Linked DNA regions of Arabidopsis thaliana. The protein of the gene in region 2 interacts with the protein of the main gene of each other region in a pairwise test. Each region holds a gene or a part of one and is shown on either strand. Other genes may lie near its edges. The genes, in order: ERS1 and CTR1.

What was found.
Region 1: the proteins of CTR1 (region 2) and ERS1 interact in a two-hybrid assay, tested with the Arabidopsis thaliana proteins (2 studies listed by BioGRID).

The regions. Positions count from the first base shown.
Region 1 is NC_003071.7:17,083,821-17,092,986, forward strand, and holds ERS1 (ethylene response sensor 1), read right to left. Parts: upstream 3,507-9,166; 5' UTR 3,260-3,506; intron 3,025-3,259; 5' UTR 3,000-3,024; coding exon 2,094-2,999; intron 1,999-2,093; coding exon 1,630-1,998; intron 1,550-1,629; coding exon 1,283-1,549; intron 1,205-1,282; coding exon 1,077-1,204; intron 987-1,076; coding exon 815-986; 3' UTR 501-814; downstream 1-500. Other genes in the region: AT2G40935 (PLAC8 family protein), read left to right, coding at 1-143, 232-396; BZIP17 (Basic-leucine zipper (bZIP) transcription factor family protein), read right to left, coding at 4,003-4,430, 4,769-6,506. UniProt on the Arabidopsis thaliana protein: Ethylene receptor related to bacterial two-component regulators. Acts as a redundant negative regulator of ethylene signaling.
Region 2 is NC_003076.8:972,557-984,533, forward strand, and holds CTR1 (Protein kinase superfamily protein), read right to left. Parts: upstream 7,294-11,977; 5' UTR 7,105-7,293; coding exon 6,457-7,104; intron 6,282-6,456; coding exon 5,980-6,281; intron 5,883-5,979; coding exon 5,741-5,882; intron 5,524-5,740; coding exon 5,420-5,523; intron 5,285-5,419; coding exon 5,079-5,284; intron 4,722-5,078; coding exon 4,446-4,721; intron 4,256-4,445; coding exon 4,215-4,255; intron 3,939-4,214; coding exon 3,870-3,938; intron 3,790-3,869; coding exon 3,689-3,789; intron 3,600-3,688; coding exon 3,515-3,599; intron 3,421-3,514; coding exon 3,322-3,420; intron 3,089-3,321; coding exon 3,020-3,088; intron 2,917-3,019; coding exon 2,785-2,916; intron 2,671-2,784; coding exon 2,576-2,670; intron 2,499-2,575; coding exon 2,402-2,498; 3' UTR 2,294-2,401; exon of another isoform or gene 2,153-2,293; 3' UTR 1,804-2,152; downstream 1-1,803. Other genes in the region: HSFA3 (heat shock transcription factor A3), read right to left, coding at 1-253, 786-1,127; HD2C (histone deacetylase 2C), read left to right, coding at 9,438-9,450, 9,783-9,853, 9,931-10,142, 10,256-10,305, 10,419-10,558, 10,772-10,864, 11,001-11,094, 11,194-11,405. UniProt on the Arabidopsis thaliana protein: Acts as a negative regulator in the ethylene response pathway. Phosphorylates the cytosolic C-terminal domain of EIN2, preventing the signaling in the absence of ethylene.

The DNA.
Region 1 (9,166 bases), on a different chromosome or scaffold from region 2:
TAACCCATTGCATCTCCTGGGCTTTGGTCAATACCATTTGCTGCTTTGCAACTAATGGCGCATTGCTCGGTCTACCGGGATGCTTTGTGTCATGTTATGCTTGCGGGTACCGCAAATCATTAAGAGCCAAGTACAATTTACAGGTTAGAATTTCTCAAACGACACATATGTGGATAATACCATTAGGTATGTATGTGGCGCTTCTGACTGATTTAACATTCTTTGATTCAGGAGGCTCCATGTGGGGATTTTGTAACACACTTCTTCTGTCACTTGTGTGCCATTTGCCAAGAATACAGAGAGATTCGAGAACAAAGCAGTGGTTCATATCCTCTTGACATGAAGATGGCTATCACCAATGCCCCCTTGGCTCAAACCATGGAATCAGCTAACTGATCACTTTGTCTCATTGAGCTTCCTTGTTTATTTTGTAGAAGACATTTTTCTTTTCATCGACTTTTGCAATGTATTTGAGAAGTTTGATGAGTAAGTAAAACTTTCTAAGGTAATTTATCATATATAAAAAAGAATTTGTGAATCTGCCACAACCACAAAATGTTGCTCTTTTCGTGAAGATTTATATCGTTTATTTAGTAGTGAATTCCAAAACATATTCTCTAAAGTAATGTTCAATAAAATATAGTGAGAACAGATAAGGTACCTCTCCCCGTATATAGGATTTTTATTTTACATATTACATCCAACAAAATCCAATAAGTTAGATCACACCGTCCGGTCATGTATTTTCTTCTTTCTCTTGCTGCTGTGTAGTTAAAAAGTCTCACCTCAATACAAGTCTTTCCAACGTAATGTATCACCAGTTCCACGGTCTGGTTTGTGATTTAGCTGCAAGATGTAGCGCCATTGAACCACTGCTACTGCTTGGACCGTTGCAGATACCAAGCCTGATGATGAACGAAGCTGTGCAGCCTTTCTCTAGGCCTTCACTTTCTATCCACATGTATCCTCCCATTAGCCCGACAAACCTAACCAGAGACATCCATCAACAGAAACTTGCCTTTTAGCTATTTGTAACACCATCTGCTTATAACTTATATATACTTTTGGGTTGTTACCGTTTACAGAGAGCTAGCCCGAGTCCTCCACCGGAATGGTTCCTCTGAGTTCCGGTCCGAGGCTGTACAAATTTGGTAAAGAGCAAAGGAATGTCTTGTGTGTGAATTCCACACCCTGTGTCCTTCACCTGCACCATGATTATAACAGTAAGAACACAGTAAGAAGCTTAACTTTGTAGTTTAGTAATTTGTAGATTGGGTCTAACCTGCACACATAGGTAGAAGTGACTGTCACTGAGAACTGGAAAAAATTCTGGAGATGGTAATTCTTGTAAGGACTCGGGTTTCATGATAGAGGCTATTATGGAGATGTAGCCTTCCTTAGTAAATTTCACAGCGTTGCCCATGATGTTAAGAATTGTTTGCATCAGACGTTTCTCATCACCAATAGCATAAGTTGGTAAGTCTGCAGACAGAATCAGATTCGTTGATAGTTTCTTCACTGATGCGATTGGCTTTATCAAAGAGATGACCTGCAGATTCAAAGCGCCCATGTTATTCATGTAAGACATATATAATGGACTTCACTGGTTAATCAGGGGGATTTAGTTACCTCTTCAAAGATCGCTTGTAGACTGAATGGTTCATTTTCCAAGAGTAAGCTCCCATCTTCCAATCTCGAAAGATCCAGAACGTCGCTGATTAGTGTAGCCACAAGATTGCTGCTTTTCAGTATTGTCTCGATCATAACTCTTTGCTCTGGAGACAGCTCAGTCTCAAGGAGAAGAGAAGAAAGAGAGATGATGGCATGCATCGGTGTCCTCATCTCGTGGTTCATAACAGCTAGGAAATCATTTCGAGCATGTACTGCCATCTCAGCCTCTTGACGAGCCTTGTCTAAAGCAAAATTCTGCTCCATAAGCTGGTCACGAGCGTGCATGGATTCTTCCAAAATTGCAGCATGTGAGAGAGCCACAGCCACCTGAATGAAGTGAGAGTCAGGGGACAAAACAAAACACTAAAAGCTGGTAAAGCAACTTGACACACAACCAAACATATACAAGTAAAGAGATGGACCTGATCCGCCACGTTTTCTACAAGCTCTAACTCATGGTCTCTCCATTTTCTTGCACCATCGGTTGGGAGAATCAGGACCATGATAGCGTAACCTTTGCCAGAGAGATCCGACCAGTCACTGCCTTGGAAATTAGAGAGATGTAAAAGAGGAACACGGACAGAAACAACCTCAGGAGGTGAATATCTCCCAACCGGAGGCCCAATCTTAGCCAAAGGACAAGAATGAGGTATGTGCATAGCTTGAGCGCTATTGAAGAGTTCATTAATAATCGGGAGATTTATCGGCACACTGCTTCCAACTTGTATTTTATGACTCAAAGTATGAGAAAGCTGCAAATATAAACCACTTTGAGAAGGCATCCACAACGCACATTCCTCAAGACAAAGAGTTTTACCAAGCTCAACAAGAGTGGTTCTTAAAATAGTATGCCTATCAAGAGTTCTTCTAATTCCATGAGTAAGCATCCTAACATGCCTACCAGTCTCCTCTTGTGTTAAAATAAGACCCATTTCTCTATCTAACTCATCAGCTTTCTTCTTGAGAAACAATTCCCTGTTCTTAACACTGAGAAGATCAGGAATAATATGAACCAACATCAACGCGGTAGCACACGACACAACCGCGCAAGAGACTTTAGCAATAGTCATGACAATGGCAACGGCTTTGGAATGCATGAAGAACATCCATAGGTTGATGAAATGCGTAGCTCCACAGAGAATGATAAAGGCTCCAAACTGCATAAGCACCCATTTGTAAGGGAAGAAAGCAGACTTTTGCACGAAATAGATAAGCTCGAGTGGGATTGAGAAGTATGCAAGAGCAATCAACGCATCTGAGATGTATTGGTACTTCACTAACAGATCATCTTGATTCACATGCGTCTCAAAACAATCGCATGACTCCATTTTTGGAGCTCTGACTTGTGTTGACCTGGTCAACAAAACTCAGATATCAGTGGAGACTAGATTTGGACTAGAGCTATGGAAAAGAGATACAAAATCTATCCAGAAAATTGAATCTACAAAATGAGATTGATTCCTCGATAACACAACACAGATCGATCAGATGAAATGTTACTAAAGTAGTGAAATCAATCTTCATCGATAGATAGATCCGATCAGAAGAGAATAAATAGAAAGTTTGTTATCCCGAGACGGCACAGTACCTGGAAGAGAAGGATTCATGACGGCGGAGCTATTGGTGGTGTGAGCCTCATAGCTTTGGGTAATGATGAAAAAAAGAAAGTTCAAGTTCGTCTTCCTGATTGATCCGAGCGTTATGAACTTGAAGAAATGAGAATCCAAGCGTAACAGTGTGATAAAGAAGAAACCAATGAGAGGTAAAAGTTTTTGATGATTTTTTTTTTGCAAAGAGGGAAGTTCACGTGTTATAGGCCTACTTGTTACATTTAAATAATAATATTATTAGCTCTCTTTTTCTGACAATGAAATAAAGAAATTTTAAAAGTGAGCTCAGGTTCATGAATCTGAGGGTTCATGCTAATCCAATTCTCTCTCCGTCGACCTTCAGGTAAAGACTTCTTCTTCTGTCACTTGTGTGCTCATATTCTCCTGCTATCACCGATGCCCCCTTGGCTCAAACCATGGAATCAACTAACTGATCACTTTTGTCTACTTGGATTTCAGCTTCTATTGTAGAATGACATTTTTTGGTCATCGACTTTTGCAATGTATATGAGAGGTTTGATAAAACTTTCTAAGGCTATGAGTTTATAAAAGGTAAAAAAAAAAAGTTACAGCATTCGGATTCTACATCTGGAAACAAAAACCGGACAACGGTATTAGCTAAGGATATTACGTGATACCAGAGAGCAGGTATTTATTCTTTTACATACAAAGCCTATATGAGAGAAGACCTGCTGATATATGTTTCAATCCTCATATGTCTTCAAGTGGTCACAAGATGAGGAGCTCCTGATCGAGGTAGGACACAGGAGTATGTTACATACTTTGCACTGTCCAGAAGCACGACTACAAAAACTCGAGACAGTGATTTTGGTCCCCCAATCATCCCATCTATATCTCCATCACCTCCTTCTCTGGGATCAACAAGCACAGATACAACCATTGATGAAGCAGGCTTGATTTCTTTGCTACTGCTGTTTCTTTGGTGCTCTTTCGTGAGGTTAAAATCTGATCCTGGGAGTGGAATGGGAAGACCACGAAGGATTCTTCTGTTCTGTTGCTTGTGTGTGTCTGTGGTGTTCTTACCGTGTTCAGCAGAGACGTTGGTAGCTGCAGGAATGATGGCTCCAGAGGTTGAGGATACATCAAACTGAAACACTTCAGTGCACATCCCTGAACTAAACATGGGACCTACAATATAGTCATTTAACAAACAAAAAAGGTGTTATTATTTAGTGAACAAGAAAGATATAAACGCTACTACTGCGCTTACAGCTTCTGCCGAGAAAGATGAAGAAAAATATACAATATGAGTAACAATTTCACATGTTCCTTATTAGTGTTTAGTATCTAATCCAGATTATACAATACATCTACTCATGACCAGAGATTTGCTGAAGGTAAGTTAAGCCTCATTAAAATGTTCTTGTGTCTAATATCAAGATATGATAAGGACTAGTATACCTACAATGCCTGCCTACATAACCAAGTCAAGGGAACAGAAAGTAAGATCAAAAACCCATGATTACCTGCAACACCTTCACGGAACCATTGCTGCATTTCACCGTTGGCTGCTTTTGTTTTGACTTGGTCTTTCAGAGTATCAGCAGAGCCAGAGGATAGAGCTTTCTGTTTTTCAGCCTTAGATCTATAGAGATGCTTAGCCAATTCCTCTGTCCTTCCCACGTCAGGTAGAGGCAGTGCAGGGGTATAATCTTTAGAGATCATCAAGTCAGCTTTCCTCTCCTTTGATTCAGAAGCCTTTCTCGAAGCCACGGCTTTCTCACTCGCCAATATAGAATTGATAATCAAATTCCCATCTATCTTCACAAGCTTGTCATTCCTCGGAACAAAGAGTGATGCAACTAGAGGCTCACTACCATTTCCAGGAGTGACAGAACTCTCTGTTGCAGATATATTTTTCCTAGCTCCTCGATCAGAATCTCTCCCACGATGCATCCCATTACTATTAGAAACCCCAGTACCAGCACCACTACGAGATGTATCCAAAACTCTATCCCTATGCTGACTGTAAATCTGGTCAGTAATATAATTAGATCTATAGTTCCCATAAAAAGCACCACTAATTCCTCCATAATTAACGTTCACAATTGGAGCTAATGCACCAAACAAAAATAGACAAAACAGAAGACCCAGAAAACTAATACTAGCCACCTTCTTGGTCTTAGCTTCACTCTTCTTACTCTCGGACTTCTTAGCCTTGGATGTTCCAAGGGTGTTCTGTGGTTTCAACCTAGGAATAGGAATCAAAGGCACTTGAGATCCTTGTTGCTTCACCATATAAGGAGGACAAGGCATCCATGGATAAGGCATTGGAGCCATAGGTGGATACATTCCCATCGGAGGTGGTGGAAGATGCGGCGGGCACATTCCATTGCCACCCAATTGCTGCCTTAGAGTAGCATTCTCAGCCATGAAATACGATATCTTACCGTTCAAATCCGTAATCGTAGAATGCATATTCCTAACCTTTTCTTCAAGCTCCTCGACGTAATGCTTCTTCCTCTGCCTAGAAAGCTGAGCACTTTCACGGTTTCTCATGAGTCTAGCTCTCTTTTTCTCATCTTCTTCACCGGTAACAGCACTAGCGTCAGCATCCTCTCCCGATCTCCTGTACTTACTGTTCCTAGACTCGTCAGTCAAATCCTCATCGATCTCTTTCTTCCTCTTGGTAATAGACGTCGTCGTCGTAGCAGCTTCTTCCACTTTAACCTTCTGGTCGACCGCAACGTTTCTCGATTTAGGCGACGATTCATTTGTAGCTTCCGAAACATCAGAACCGCAATTACCCGAACCCTGAGAGGACAATGGAGTCGGTAGATCTAAATTATGGTCAGCACCGGAGCAACGATCATCGGAATCTCTAGGAGATTCCCGGTTAATGCAACCGGAAGTTGTAATAGTCTTATCTGCATCTTTGGGAACAATACAATCACCGGAAATTCCAGAACTTTCAGACTCCGGAGTGAAATCACCAAACTGTTCTTGATTGGACGTATTGATAGGGATGAGAAACGACTCATTCTCAGCAGGGAAGTAAAGATCGTCCATACCGTCGAAAGTGAGCTCGAATTCACCATCGGGAAACCCCAGATCGGACATTAGTTCACCAATCGGAGTCTGATCGGAGAAATGATCATCTAACGGAGGGATCGAGATGGAATCAAAATCGGACGGAGGAGGGTAGGTGGAATTAGGGTCCGGAGCAGGTGGAGGAGGCTGCTCCTTGGTGATTGGTTCAGCCATTTTGAAACTGAGTTTTAGGGTTAGGGTTTCGAATTTGGGGATGAAGAAGAAGAAGGAGAGATTCAAAAGGAAGAAAGGGGTTATGGAGGAATGAGGTTAGAACACGGGAGAAAGACGACGAGGGGTTTAAAGACAAAGAGGAAGAGGAAGTAGAAGGTGCTTGCTTCCGTCTTCGTCTACTGCGCGTGGGTCTTACGCTCCGGAATCATACTCGCTAACTTACACTAGTGATTCATGAAACTTATAATATCCAAAATTAATCGCTTTCCAAAATAAATGATAAACAGCAAATCTAGAAAAATAAATTGGGAAATTTATTTTGAATAACACTTTTCCTAAGAGTAGCTAAATTAAATTTTATGATGTGCTAGTGGGTTTTTTAATTTTGAATTTGTTTTTGATTGACTATTATATATGTTTAAGATAGTAAGTAGTAATTTTGATCTTCAAAAAAATATTAAACTGTTATTTTTAAAGAATTGACTTAATAGTTCATTTAATATTTGGGAAAGCAGATTTAAATTATTATTTTTTTTTCATAAATTAGGATATCAGTTTTAAGATTTCTTTTAAATATATAATTGACTTAATAGTTCATTTAAAATAATTTACGTAAATTACTTGGGGAATATATCATTTATCTCCCAAAAAATAAACTTAGTAATAATTTTTCGCGATTCGTTATATATCTTTTTTTTTTATATAATTACTTTCTTGATTTCACAAATCTCAAATAGATTGCGTTTAAGGTGACTGCAAAGATATGAATTTCTCACCATACATAATCTCTACAATTGTCTTGATACCAAACTATACGTGTTTCGTAATCGAGGGGGCTATAAAAGTAAAACAAAGCATATGGATTAGTTTGACGTTATAGTTATAGTAGTGTCGATTTGGTAGTGAATACAGAATACTCATGGTCATGGTGCATGTTGTTGACTTTTTGGGATCGAGCTTTGAGACGGGACACCACCAAGTGATTAGTTTTGTGTATCCAAATTTAATTCTTGGGCGTCTAAAATATCTTAGTCTTTGGTGCATTATCATTCTACATAGTCGTCATTTCACGATTATGCTGAATATATATTTGGGTACAAAGGGCAAAAGACAAGGGCGAGTGTAAAACCAAGAAGCAGAGGAAGAGCGTGGGAGATATCGGTATCCACATGTTAAAAGCACGTTGACTTCATTGTGTTGGAGTGAAGGAAGGGTTTTTGTTTGTCTCCGTTAATCTCTTTCTCTCGAAACTTCTCTCTTCTGATCTAAACCCTAAAAATAATGCTATATTATCTCCTCACTTTCCAACTGTGTGTCGTTTTTGAGTCTCTTTTCCGTCACGCATGTCTCCTCTCCCCTCTGCATCGCTCATCATTTCTTCTCTCTCACCTCATACTATCACAAATAGAGTATTGTTTATTGATGCATTTTAAATAGATATAACTATTGGCTTTTCGTTCACGTTCAAAGTTCAAAACTATGAAATAATGAAATCCGCTAGGAAATGAGAAGGTGTATATTGGTATAAAGCATCATTTTTTCACGAGAGTTTTGAAAGACACAAGCCAAAATAATGAAAGACTACATTATATTCTTCACAAAAGAACACAAACTCATCAAAGACTAACATTATGAAAAAGTAAACCCTCTGATCTGATATACGTACCTTTCTTGGGAGGTGCTTGCAAAGAGAGGTGGTGGTGGGTGCAATGAAAATCTAATCCATACTTTGACCACCGTTGAAAATAGACAACTTTGTAGAATTAGAGATAAACATGTGACTGTGGTCCGTTATAAGAAATTAGAATAAACAGGTTACAGACTAAATGTGTGCTCGTTTACATACATGGTTTTATAAGTTCAACCACAAATAAGCTTACATCTATCGGAATTTTTTTTTCCAAAACAACTTCGACTTCTCTCTTATGATCTTATCTAAACCGACTAGTAATTCCAATTTAATCTTATTCGAGTTTTTTTTTTTTTTTTTTTTTTGGTAATAGAAAGAAATAAGATCAAACGTTGGTCGCAAACGTGGAATGTGTTGAAATAACCCATCAATCAAACACTCAAGGTGTGAATGGTAACAAACTAACAATGGTAATAAGCTTTAGGGATTTTCAATAGCATCATATTATATGCACTAACTAAAAATAGCTCCCACAAGGCCACACCAATTTTTTTATAAAAATAAAAGCAATAAGGTATTTTTACCTTTTTAAAATTCATTAAAAAAAAAAAATCAACATTAAAATAGTTATCTTCCCTCTCCTTGGGTTTTGAGGGAGACAGAGATAAGATTTGCATCTATAACGAAGCACTTCTCTCTTCTCTCTCGTCCTCAATACTTCGGTGTCAATCTGATATAGGAAACTAGGCATTGATATATGGTTAGATACGTGGCAATACATGAGTGGAGACAGTAGCTGTGAGACGTGGCAAGAGAAGATTGGTCGATGGGAGTGTTAGAGGAAGAATCGAGATGCAGAGATATATAGCTAATGAAGATCATTTGCAGAAGATAAGAAGATTTTGGATTTGTTGTTTATAGTTTCCTTTTGGATTCTCTCTGAGAATCGTTCCTCATCGTTCGCCGGAGTTTCATGTTGAACTCTTGTAGATGAGAAGTTGATATCGCGTTTCATGAACGTTGTATCAAT
Region 2 (11,977 bases):
GTCGAGCTGTGCCTCTGCTTTGCTGCTGAAGCTCAACCATTTCCTCCATCAATGCACGCCGCTCTTTCCTCAGCTTCTCAATCTCTCCTCCAACCTCAGTAGGTGACCCTTGGCTTTGGCTAGTGCTACTGCAGCAAGTTTGGTTGGATTGTGGTGATCGACGACGATGAATGTTCTTCAGAAGATGCTTCTTGCCTCTAAGGAAAGCCTCGTTAGCGAATTCCCACTTGTCAGTATCAATCTTTCGAAATCCCTGGAAACATTCCAACCCCAAAAAAACAACTCAAACAAGCTCAAGATAAAGTAAGTAAACACATTTACATCAAGACAAGACCAAATATCTCAAGATATTAGAAAGATTCTACCTCTGAAGTGTGAAGAACATGTGAGTAATGATGTCTTAAACCAGACTGAAGTTAACATTGTGAGAAAATAACAAAACTTCATAAACCAAAATTCTCCATTCAAACGAAACCATAAGTATACAAGATTACAAGCTTATTTCAGATGAGAAGTTATTATAAGATCCAATCGAGGCCAAAATTTCATAGATACAAAACTCAGTGTTACATGATAGAGAGATTAAACAAATCCCAAAAAGAAAAGAAAATTACAGGTAATTTTTTACAAGTTATCAAAAAACGAGTTTCAAGAATCTATACAAAATGGTTTTGGTCATCAAAAAGATTACAGAAACATAAAAACAAAACAAAACTGAAAGAAGAAGAAGAAGAAGAAGAATGAGTCTATCTAGAAAACAGAAACAGAGCAAGAGAGATGATTACATAAGTGTTAAGCTGTCTGACGAAGCTGGAGAAATTGTTGTGTTTGAAATTCCTTGGAAGTATGATTCTGGCAAACTCTAGAGGATCCCAAACTACGAAGCTAGCTCCGGTCAGTCCCCAAGAGATGACCGGGTCAAGAGTCGGGTCATCAACCAAATCAAAAGTCTTGGATAAAAAAGGTGGAATTGGATTCCCTTGTAAGATGTCTAGTGGCATGGGAAGTGGTGACCCAGAGAAACCCATGTCAGTGTCGACGTAGAGAGACCCGGGTATATCGGATCGTCTCGAAACGGGTACTGAAATTGGAGTTGGTTTAGAAACAGCATCTTTTTTTGGGCTCATTTGATATAGTAGAAAATTTACGGGTTTTAGTGAGAGAGAGAGTGAGAAATTGGGGTGTGTGTGATAATTAGGGGGTTTAAGAGAAGAAGGATGAGAGGTTTAATGGTTTATAAAGGTTTAGGGAAGGAAGTAACCGACAAACTGTAGTCAGATAATTGAAAAAAATCTGGGGAATAGAGAGGCGGTGGAAATGGGTGGGTCAGTTCCCGCCACCGTGGATTTATCTTTTTCGTCATCATGTTCCATTGATTCATCAGTTTAGAAGAAATTTGGAAACTTTAGTGACAAATAATTGTACAACCGACATTGAAATTGAAAGTTGTTTCCTTGCAGCTTCACTTAGCTCTCTCTCTCTGTGATTTGGTGAAGGAGAGAAAGTGGTGACGATGGTGGGTCCCACGTCATCTTGAGATTTTTGAAAGGAGGAGTGATTTAGCGCGTTTGCCAGGTCAGCTTTCTAATTTGGAACTGGGCCCTCACAAATCACTGATTCGCTTTTCGTGTTTCCTTTTTCAGAATTTAATATTGTATAATTTTGATTTACGCAATCCTATTGGTTACCGATCCATCAAACGATTAATTCGGAAGACAGGTAAAGTCGTTTTCAAGTGTGGGAACTTACTTAGACGCGAAGGCAAAAATAGTTGACTATGTATCTAGATATTTTCAGTCCCAATGCGTTTTTAACGATTTGGGATTATATTCATCTGTATTAGAGTCTCCGAAAGTTACAGTCTTATTTCATTTCTGTTGGTTTATAGTCCAGACTAATCGCACAGTGAACAAATGTAAATCCAATGAATCATATTGAGTTTGCAAAACCCTTTGACAGCATTTACCAGCTGCTCTTTTTTACCTTCGCTTAGTAACTAATTTAGCGGTATAAATGTACAGCAATGTAATTAAATATAGCTTTCAGTGCATTGCTACAAAGACATAACAACAAAATATTGCTTACCCTTTGGGACTAGATAGATAGATTATATCCCTCACATTGTTTCCATTACTACATTTTTTTTTCCTCCCTGTGACAATAGTCATGTACATTTTAACAATCTGCAACATTAAAAAGGGAACAAAACAGCAGACAAAGATCGCAAAAATAATACATGTATAAAAACCATGGGATTCTGTAGGATATGATTGATAGCTCATGAGGAATGTACCTTTAAAGCTATATCTTAACTAGTGTCTCCCTCCTGGGCAGCAAAAGAATGCTGAGAGTATATGTGCATATCATGATTATAACAACTTTTGAATGGACCGGGGGTATTTTACAAATCCGAGCGGTTGGGCGGAGGAACCGCTGATTTGATCAATGGTCTTAGCAAGTCCATTATAGTTGCAAATGATGGACGCTTCCATGGCTCACTGGTAATGAAACACATACATAAACATGAAGTCTATTCAAGAAGAATTCAAAAAAGAGATAGAAAATCTTAACGTACTTGGTCCAACAACCCTCGATTATGGCTGCAACCTGAGGATTCAGATTACGCGGGATCTCCAGCCGTTTACACTTGAAACCAACCGCAGCTACAACCTATGGAACATTTTTTTGTATGATCATATATAGCATGTTATGAAATGTAGAGTGAGGGACTTCCAAATGCAAAATAATATCATTATTATTTGAGATGTTTAGAGTGGAAAGTACCTGAGCCGGATTTAAGTTACCCCATGGTTGTTGCAATGTAGCAAGCTCCCACAAGATGACCCCGAAGCTGTACACATCTGACTTTTCATTAGACGGCTCATCTCGCAGGACTTCTGGTGCCATCCACTCGGGCTGATATATCAAAGTCAGTAATTATTTAGCTTCCATTGGAAATAGGACCTAGAAGAAAGTTACGTTGTTCAGCGTGTTTTAGTTTCAAACAAACTGAACTTACGGTTCCAGCTGCTGACTTCGAGGAAAGAAACGTGCTGGCCTTCAATCGCGAGAGACCAAAATCACAAACCTGAAATTTCAAGACAAATTGAGGAGTTAGAATAATAATGTTCTGATTGTTTTTAAGACGACAGCTTGAGGCTGCTGTATCTTTTAAGTTTCAGCAGATTAACGCCTTTTTGTAATGTCTCCAAACCAATTTAGAATTAAAAATCATAATTTATATATAAGCTTGTCTCACAAGAGGAATAAAATATCAAAATCAAAACATTGGACACAACAATTTCTAATTTAGATTCAAACCTTGACTGTATATTTTTTGTCAACCAATAAGTTTGGAGATTTTAGATCTCTATGCACAATTGGAGGATTGCGATTGTGAAGATAATTCATTCCCTTAGCCTGTGACAGAGAATTGGAAAGAAAGTTCCATGTGAAGAAACACCAAGATCAGGAAGTAATCACCCATACATGTAACATAAGGAATTAAACATACCACATCATAAGCCATACTCAGGCGACGTCTCTCATCTAATTGCTCCCTTGCTCCACTTTTATGCAAAAGTCTGTATAAACTACCTCTGTTTGAAAGAAATCATGGTATTAGAGTCATTATAGGCCAAAATTCTACACTCAGTACATCAAACCTTCCAAATCCAAGTAATTGTACCTTGACAAATATTCTGTCACTATTGACAAATTTGGAGGTTGAGTGACCGCACCCATGAAGAGAACAATGTTAGGGTGGCGAAGGCGTTTCATTATCGCAACCTGACAGCGAATCAAGATCATTGGAGACATTAATACAACAAGTTCATTACCAAAATCAAGAGAAAATTTTATTTGTGCACCTCTCTTAAGAACTCATTAACACGCTCAGCATGGAAGTCTTGCTCCATGAGAATTTTCACAGCAACATCCTGAAATTGATAGAGAATATTACTGCAATAATCAAAATTAGAATTCTTCTAGTGATAGAATTGTAAAATTCAAACAGGAAGACAAATTTATGATATAAAGACACATATACATCTAAAATGGGACACCTTTTGTCCGTGTTTAATTTCTGACAGAACGGAGAGTCACATATACAATAACTTTGCCTTTTATAATACCAAGCAGATCCAAAAGTCACAACCAAATTTTTAGAGCGAAAAAAAATTCAGCTGCGTAAATTCTGACAAAAAAGTTCTTACCGAGCCATGCCACTCAGCACGGTGGACAGTGCCAAAGGAACCTGAAAGAGCAGTCGCTCAAATTAGAGTGGAAGAATTAAAGGCAACAGAGAAGAATGTAATCTCAAAATGGGTGGCACTTTTTCCTTATTTTGTTCGAGAACAGAGTCCAAAGCAAAACCACTTCCTCAAGAATTTCATATTTCTTTGCATTTTTAGACCGAATCATTAATTTTTCCGTAAAATTATTACCTGCTCCAATCTTTTCTTTTATATTAAGATCACACCACGGGATGTCCATATCATCACCATCAAGTCCAAGTTCCCTATTTGCCCTGTTTGGAACTGGCTGACTGATTGGTGGGGCATTCATAGGTGCTGCTTCAATTTGATTTGACGCACGCATCATGTTCTGTGGAGGCATATTAGCACTGGGTGGCAAAGACCCACCACCATTTTCTGCCAATGCGTCATTCTCTCCACCCGGATTATCATATTGCCTATGAAACATTGAGAATCCCATATCATCTACAACCATTCAAACAAGCAGATATAAGAAATTAGAGTCCAGAAGACAAGTCTTGCACATAAATGCACTAGAATTCATAAGCTTGAACAGCAGACTAACAAGTTTAACCTTAAATATCATTAGGCAAAGAACCCACCAACAAACATACACATCAACAGCCAAAAACAACTAAAGTGAAAAGAGACAAGAAAACAAACAATAGAATCATTCTAAGACTACTAACACTTCAGATACTGAGACATGATCAAGAAATACCCTAAATGATAGGAGATTACTCTTTTAGGGGAAATACAAAACGAGATGTAAGCAGCATGCAAAAAGTTAACATATTATTCAGGTTTTTTGTATGGGAATACCTGATGCAGGATCGAAAACAAGATTAAGAGACTGGCTATCGGAGAAATATTGTTTGGCTAGTAACCTAAAATCGACTGCGGGTTCAACTGGCTTTGGTCGTGGAAACCGCAGAGGAGAAGAAATTGAGATAGATGAAGGACCATTTAGCAAGGAATCAGGCTCCCATAAGTGACCTGGCTTTCCTACTAAATCAACCAGGTACTCCCTGAAACCAAAACAAATTTTCCACGTCATCAACCTAATATTCTGCGAAACATTTGGAGCTATAATTGTTTTTCCAGAAACAAAAAGCAAAGAAAATAGGAAAATAAAGGCTCTTTCGCAATCACTTGTATCATACCTATCAAGCCCAAACCTGACAAGGCACGAAGCGGCATCGTCTCTATTACAATATTTACATCCTTTGGCAATTCGACAGGGTAAATCAATTATGTCAGCCAGTACCTGCATGCACCAAATAGAAGATATAAAATACTTTTTTTCTTTGGAACATTCAACTATCAGTAACCTATTTTTTTCTAATCAATAACACCACTTTTCACATTCAACGTTCTTCATATGTATTCCAATAAAAACAAATGGATGAAGCACAATAATTTATATGATCATTTCACAAGATGTCTTAAATGTCATGGGGATAGCATCAAAGTTGGGATCTCACTTTGAAGAGTAAAGCTCGATGTCTGCAGAGTCCAACAGAGAGGCTACCTATGGGAACCACCACTTTAAAGATTTCTTTTAGACCATCAATGCACTCCTTCCACATGGGAACCAACTCATCTTCCCCCATGATAACTGGACCCCTGGGGAAGCAAGAATTAACGAGTACAATGTGAGAAATCACAGGAAGATATAAAAATATAAGTTCAAAGGGATAGTAAGGATTGTATGAGTACAAACCCCATACGATTGCAGATAAGCTTTGCCAGCTGATCAACAACCTCTTTTGTGGTAATGCAGCTACAAGATATGTCGTGGACTCTATTGTGAAGTTCCTTGAAGGCTGGATCACTACGCCTATCAACTATGATCGCTTCAAGCGAAGAATCAACACCAGAATCAACAGCTCTTAATGATTCAATTGAAGGGATGCGACCACTTTCATGCAGGTCGATGCATAAGGTCCAAATATAGGGATCCAGACCATTCATCATATAAAACCCATCAGGAACTTTATCATAGTACGATAAGCAGCCATTAACCTGATGCAGCACACAAAACAATCATACTCTGCAATGTATCTAAACAACATATCTCATTTGCTACTAATAGACTTTTGGTAAGGAGATCTAACTGAAACTTCGGAAACAAGAGGACCATATCTCTATAACCACGATTCAATAATTTTGGGAAACAAAGCTTAACAGGAACAAATACCCAGAAACGATGTGAAACGGTTTCGGCTGAACTTGGCGAAGTCCGTAAAGCAGACTCGTCCGGTACAGGATCCAGAAAGTTCGGATCGTCGGCACAAGTAGCCTCCGACGAAAGCCTTAACGCCAATGCAAGCTGCAGCTGATAACTCTCCTCCGTCTGCTGCGCCCAGCTCTTCCCAGATGAAGACCCTCCAGCGGAGTCCGCCGCCATCTGTATCCTCAAATCTCCTCCACCACCACCAAATCCAAGCCTAAACCCATCATCTTGAGGAAATCCAACAGATTCGATCTCGTTAGCCGCCGCAGAAAGCGTAGGCATGTAATAATCCCCAGACAAAGAGCTCTCACCGAAACTACTCCCACTGGATTGCCTTTGCAACCCTAGAGACGAAGCATACATATTATTCCCAACCCGATTCGGTTGATTATTCAACCTATGATCACCACCACCACCACCGCTAGGATCCCAATCAAATCCGCCTCTCTCCGCCTTAGCTTTCCCGGTGTTCCCGCTGTTATGGTTGCTCCTGTTTTCGCTCGACAAGGAATCATAGTGAGGCGGAGGAGCTCCGGTGACGGAAACTGACACCTGATCGTCAGAAAATTGACTAAGCAAAGTGTAATTAGATCTTCTACCGGGCATTTCCATGGAAAAGAGAGTTATCGCGATCTAGATGAGAGAGTTTCCCGATCATATAAACATCAAACCCTAGGAAACCGCCATTGTTGAAGAAGTTTGGCGAGCTAGCTAGCCACTTGTTTCTCTCTCTAGTTTTTCATTTTTTTTTTGTACTTTTTAAAAAAGTCTCTCTCTCTCTCTCTCTCTCTCTCTCTCTCTAATGGAATTGGATTTTTTTTTTGTTTTTGCGTTATCATAGGAAATAAACTTACTCGGTGCGTTTCTGTTGATAATTTCGTTATATTCCTCTTTTGTCCTCCTTTTTATGGAACTTTGACATTTTTTTTATTTTTTGTCAAAACAATTCTCCAATTTAGTTTGTTTTTTAGTGTATTATTATTTGTCTAATTTTTGTATTCGACTATGATATCTATTCATATGTTTTGTGCTAATTTAATCGCTAATAAAACTGTTTAAACAATTAATTTGGTATTTCATATTTTGGTGATAAGCAACTGAAATTGGAAGATAAAAAGTAGTATCGTAGTGAAAGTAGAAAACGCAAAGCTAAAAGAGGAACATACACAGTGTAAAATACTAAACCATCTTGCCTATCAAATCCAAATACTATCAAATTTGATCTTTTACACCAATCTGAATCCGTAACATTGGATCCAAGTTTCGTATACCTAAACATGAAATTTTCATTCGGCTCTACGTAGTCTAAAAAACTCGACATAAAATAAATAAAAAGCCTTTATAACGTCCACAATATTTAGAATAGAAAGTGAGAGAATGGACTATAATAAAATAATTGGAGTCGAGGGGGATGTATTCGTGTATGCGAAAATGGATGGGCTCTTCTGTCTTTATATTCCTTAATTTGTCTATTCAAACACATTCGTATTTCTGGTCTTCGGCCTGCGACTTCTATACCATGCATGCATCTTATCTCTCTCTTTTTTTTTTTTTTTCGTTTTCTTTTCTACTTCTCCATTTTTTTTTAATTTGGTTATTTTTATTGCCTTTATGTTTTTTGTGTATTATATATAAATGAACTAATAATACTTCATTATGTTTCGTGTTATTATAAGTGAATTTTTCACAACCATTACAAAAAATTATCTTTTGCTTAAAAGTTAACTTTGGATTATAGTACTTCATAAAAATGTAAAGATTTTGATCAAGTACTTATCAACGCAGCTTGGGTAGTCAATGTGCTGTCATTAATTTATCTATCAAGCTATCCACGCAGCTTGGACAATAAATAAATATTTAAATTCTATTGCATATTTATATCATTTGATCCGCTAAGGTTCATCGAATACTGCCAGGTTCATTGCACTCAACGCATTTTTGTCATTAACTTACGTTTTTTAGCCATGGCTGCTGAGAATATAAAGTTGCTACTATGTAAAGAAACTTTTGGGTTTGATCATATTTGTGCACAAAAAAAAATAAAAAAAAAATCATACTTTTAAAACTAGTATTAATCCAAAAAGTGCTAAAACATAACAAAAAAAAATTCTCCTTAACTACTATACAAACATATATTTTTTTATGCGCATAAATTAAAACTTAACAATTGATTATGATCACATATGTTGAAAAAAATCGAAATTATGTGTGATATGTAAAACCGGAGTATAATATTGGTAAACTATAAATTTAAGAGCATTGGAAAATGTTCATGATTCATGCCGAGAACTCTTCTAAATCTAAACACGAGAGGCCCCGAATAGATCTAACTAAAATGAATTGTGTTTAATATAATAATAGTGTTCCTTAATTCTCACTCGTGCAACTATCCATTTAATAATTTTAATTATTCGTAGTCGGGGACCGTACTTAGTTTTATCATATAAACTCTTCACAGATTTTGTTAACTGGTTTTTCTTTGGATTAGAAAAAAATTAAAACTTTGCGATACATTATGCTCAATTTATCCGTGGGACTTATTTTGAGGAATGGAGATAGATATTGTCATGAAGACATGAATATATAGACCCCACATGTTGACGAAAACTCCGTCAGTCAAATAAAGTGTTAAAAGTCCGTTACGATCCGTCCTGACACCGTTAAAAAAAGCCGTCAAAATAAAGTATGGGCTTGAAACGTTAGTTTTGTTGGGCTAATTTTAAAATCATGGCCCAACTAAAGGAGATATTCGAGTGGACCGCGTAACAGAGGATCCCTAAAATCCCTTCCTCCGATTAATAAATTCCAGCGGACATTTTAGCCTTCTCACATCAACACGCCCTAAAACCGCTCTCGAGAGACGAATCGCTCTCAGCTTCTTCTAGAACCTTCTCCTTCTCCTTCGACGCATCGTCGCCTTCAAGATCACACTACCTCGCACAACAATGGAGTTCTGGGGTAAAAAACATCTCCTATCTTACTCCTTCTTCTTCTTCGTTCTCTGCGCTTCATTTCCTGCATTTAGTTTTTTTTTAGCTTCTGGTTTCATCGCTTTTTTTCGTTTTGCCATGTTTTTCTACTGTTTTTTCTATGGAATCTTCTGTTTAGCTAAACGAGAAACGGGAATAGTGAGTATATGTGACAATCTAGGGTATGGACTGTTCGTCTTCGTAGAAAATTGGGGAAAACTGAAAAGTTTTCTCTCTCGCTAGGTTTTAACTCCGATAGAGGTTTCATTTGGGGATTTTGTTGCAGAATTACTGATTTGTATGCTTTCTATGCGTTTGCAGGTGTTGAAGTTAAGAATGGCAAACCACTTCACCTAGATCCTGGGCTAGACAGGCTCGTGCACATCTCTCAGGTACTTTTGAATTTGCAAGCTTAATTTGATTTATAAGAATGTATTTTACAGTGACGTTTGGTTTATTTTTGTTGAAGGTTGCTTTGGGAGAGAGTAAGAACAATGTAACCGAACCAATCCAGCTTTACGTGACTGTTGGATCGGATAAGCTTCTCATTGGAACGCTATCTCATGAGAAGTTTCCTCAGCTGTCTACGGAGATTGTCTTGGAAAGGAACTTTGCGCTGTCTCATACTTGGAAGAATGGGAGCGTTTTCTTCTCTGGTTACAAAGTTGATGCATCTGATCCATATCCTTTACTATTTGAACATTTTTGTTGTTATCGCTTTAAGCTTTGTTGATGAAAATGTTTTGGGGACTTGTTGCTTTACTCTGTTTTTGACTTCCTTGACTCTATCTCACCGAGCCTGAGGATTTGATTGATGATCAACTTGAGGCTGCTGGTTTCAAAGGTAAATGGGGACTTTTATATCCAGTCCTGCAATGATTTGTCTCCAGTTGTCTTATTTTAGTTTATTTAAGAACATCAATCTCTTATAAATTTATTTGGCCTTGGTTGAGCCAGCTGCTCCGAAATCTGCTGCGAAACAGGTGAACTTTCAGTTGCCAAATGAAGATGTCAAAGCCAAGCAAGATGATGACGCTGACGGTAGTGAAGAAGATTCTTCAGATGATGATGATAGTGAAAACTCTGGAGACGAGGAGGTACTTTTATCTATATATACTAGCTCAATTTGTTATAGAATTTTACTTAGGCTCAGTGACATGTTGATTAAACCTATAGACAGTGGTACTAGAGTTATCTTAAGTATGTTTGTAACTTCTATATTTGCATTTTCACATGAACCCTTGATTACCTATTGTGTTTTAGCCCATTCTCACATTTCTTTAATCCTTATCATGGCTGCTTTGTTTCAGGAAGAGAAGGTTACTGCTGAATCTGACAGTGAGGAAGATGACTCATCAGACGACGAAGAAGATGACTCCTCAGAAGAGGAAACCCCAAAGAAGGTAACATGACAGTCTCTTTTATGTGCTTGTTGATGGGAAACCTATATTTGTTCTATCTTATCTTCCTTTGGGAGCAATTTCTCTGCTTCTGTGGTCAAGCTCGAATCTGATTCTAAGTTTTCTTGGTTTATAAAAGCCTGAAGAACCCAAGAAGAGGTCTGCAGAACCCAACTCCTCCAAGAACCCTGCGTCCAACAAGAAGGCTAAGTTTGTAACTCCTCAGAAAACAGGTGATTAAATCCTTTTTACCAATCTCCCCATTGAATACTTATTTTAACGATAGAAAGGAAGATTGATTTGTTTAATTAAAAAACATTCGGACAAAGCAGATTCGAAGAAACCGCATGTCCATGTTGCAACTCCTCATCCCTCAAAACAGGCGGGTAAGAATTCTGGTGGAGGCAGCACTGGAGAGACATCGAAGCAGCAGCAGACACCGAAGTCTGCAGGAGCGTTTGGGTGCAAGTCGTGCACCAGAACCTTTACTTCGGAAATGGGATTGCAGTCTCACACAAAGGCCAAACACAGTGCAGCTGCTTGAGAAGAAGAAGCAGCATGATGACTACTCTCTATAATATCTACTCTAGAACTTTGATGTCTTTTGGTACTTAAATCTGGAACTTGCGAGTGAGCCAGTTTTAGTTGGTCTTTTTTTTCAGGCATTTCTTCCTGTTTAACTTTATCGTTTTGGTAGCTGAAACTGTGCTAAACCTTTGTTTGTGTTTAGTGGTATGGATATTAAGTCTTTTTGTAGACTTTTCTAGTGAAAATCTACATTTGAAATTCTCTGTCCAAAACATACATTGATTGAAGATTAGTTAGCATGTCACTTTGTAACATAATCTAATGGACCCGAAATTAAGGATTTTTAGGGCTTGTGGTTAATATGCAGCTACTACACCAGTTTGCGTATATAAATATAATAGGAAGAGAAAAATAATAACAAGCAGGTTTGCCCGAGTGGTTAAGGGGGAAGACTTAAGTTCTTCTGCACATAAGTGCGCGTGGGTTCGAACCCCACAGCCTGCATTTCCCCTCTATTTTGTTAAAATTAATAAACTTGTTGTGTTCCTTCCACTTTTGCTGTCTTCCAAAGGTTTCCAACTTCCGCTT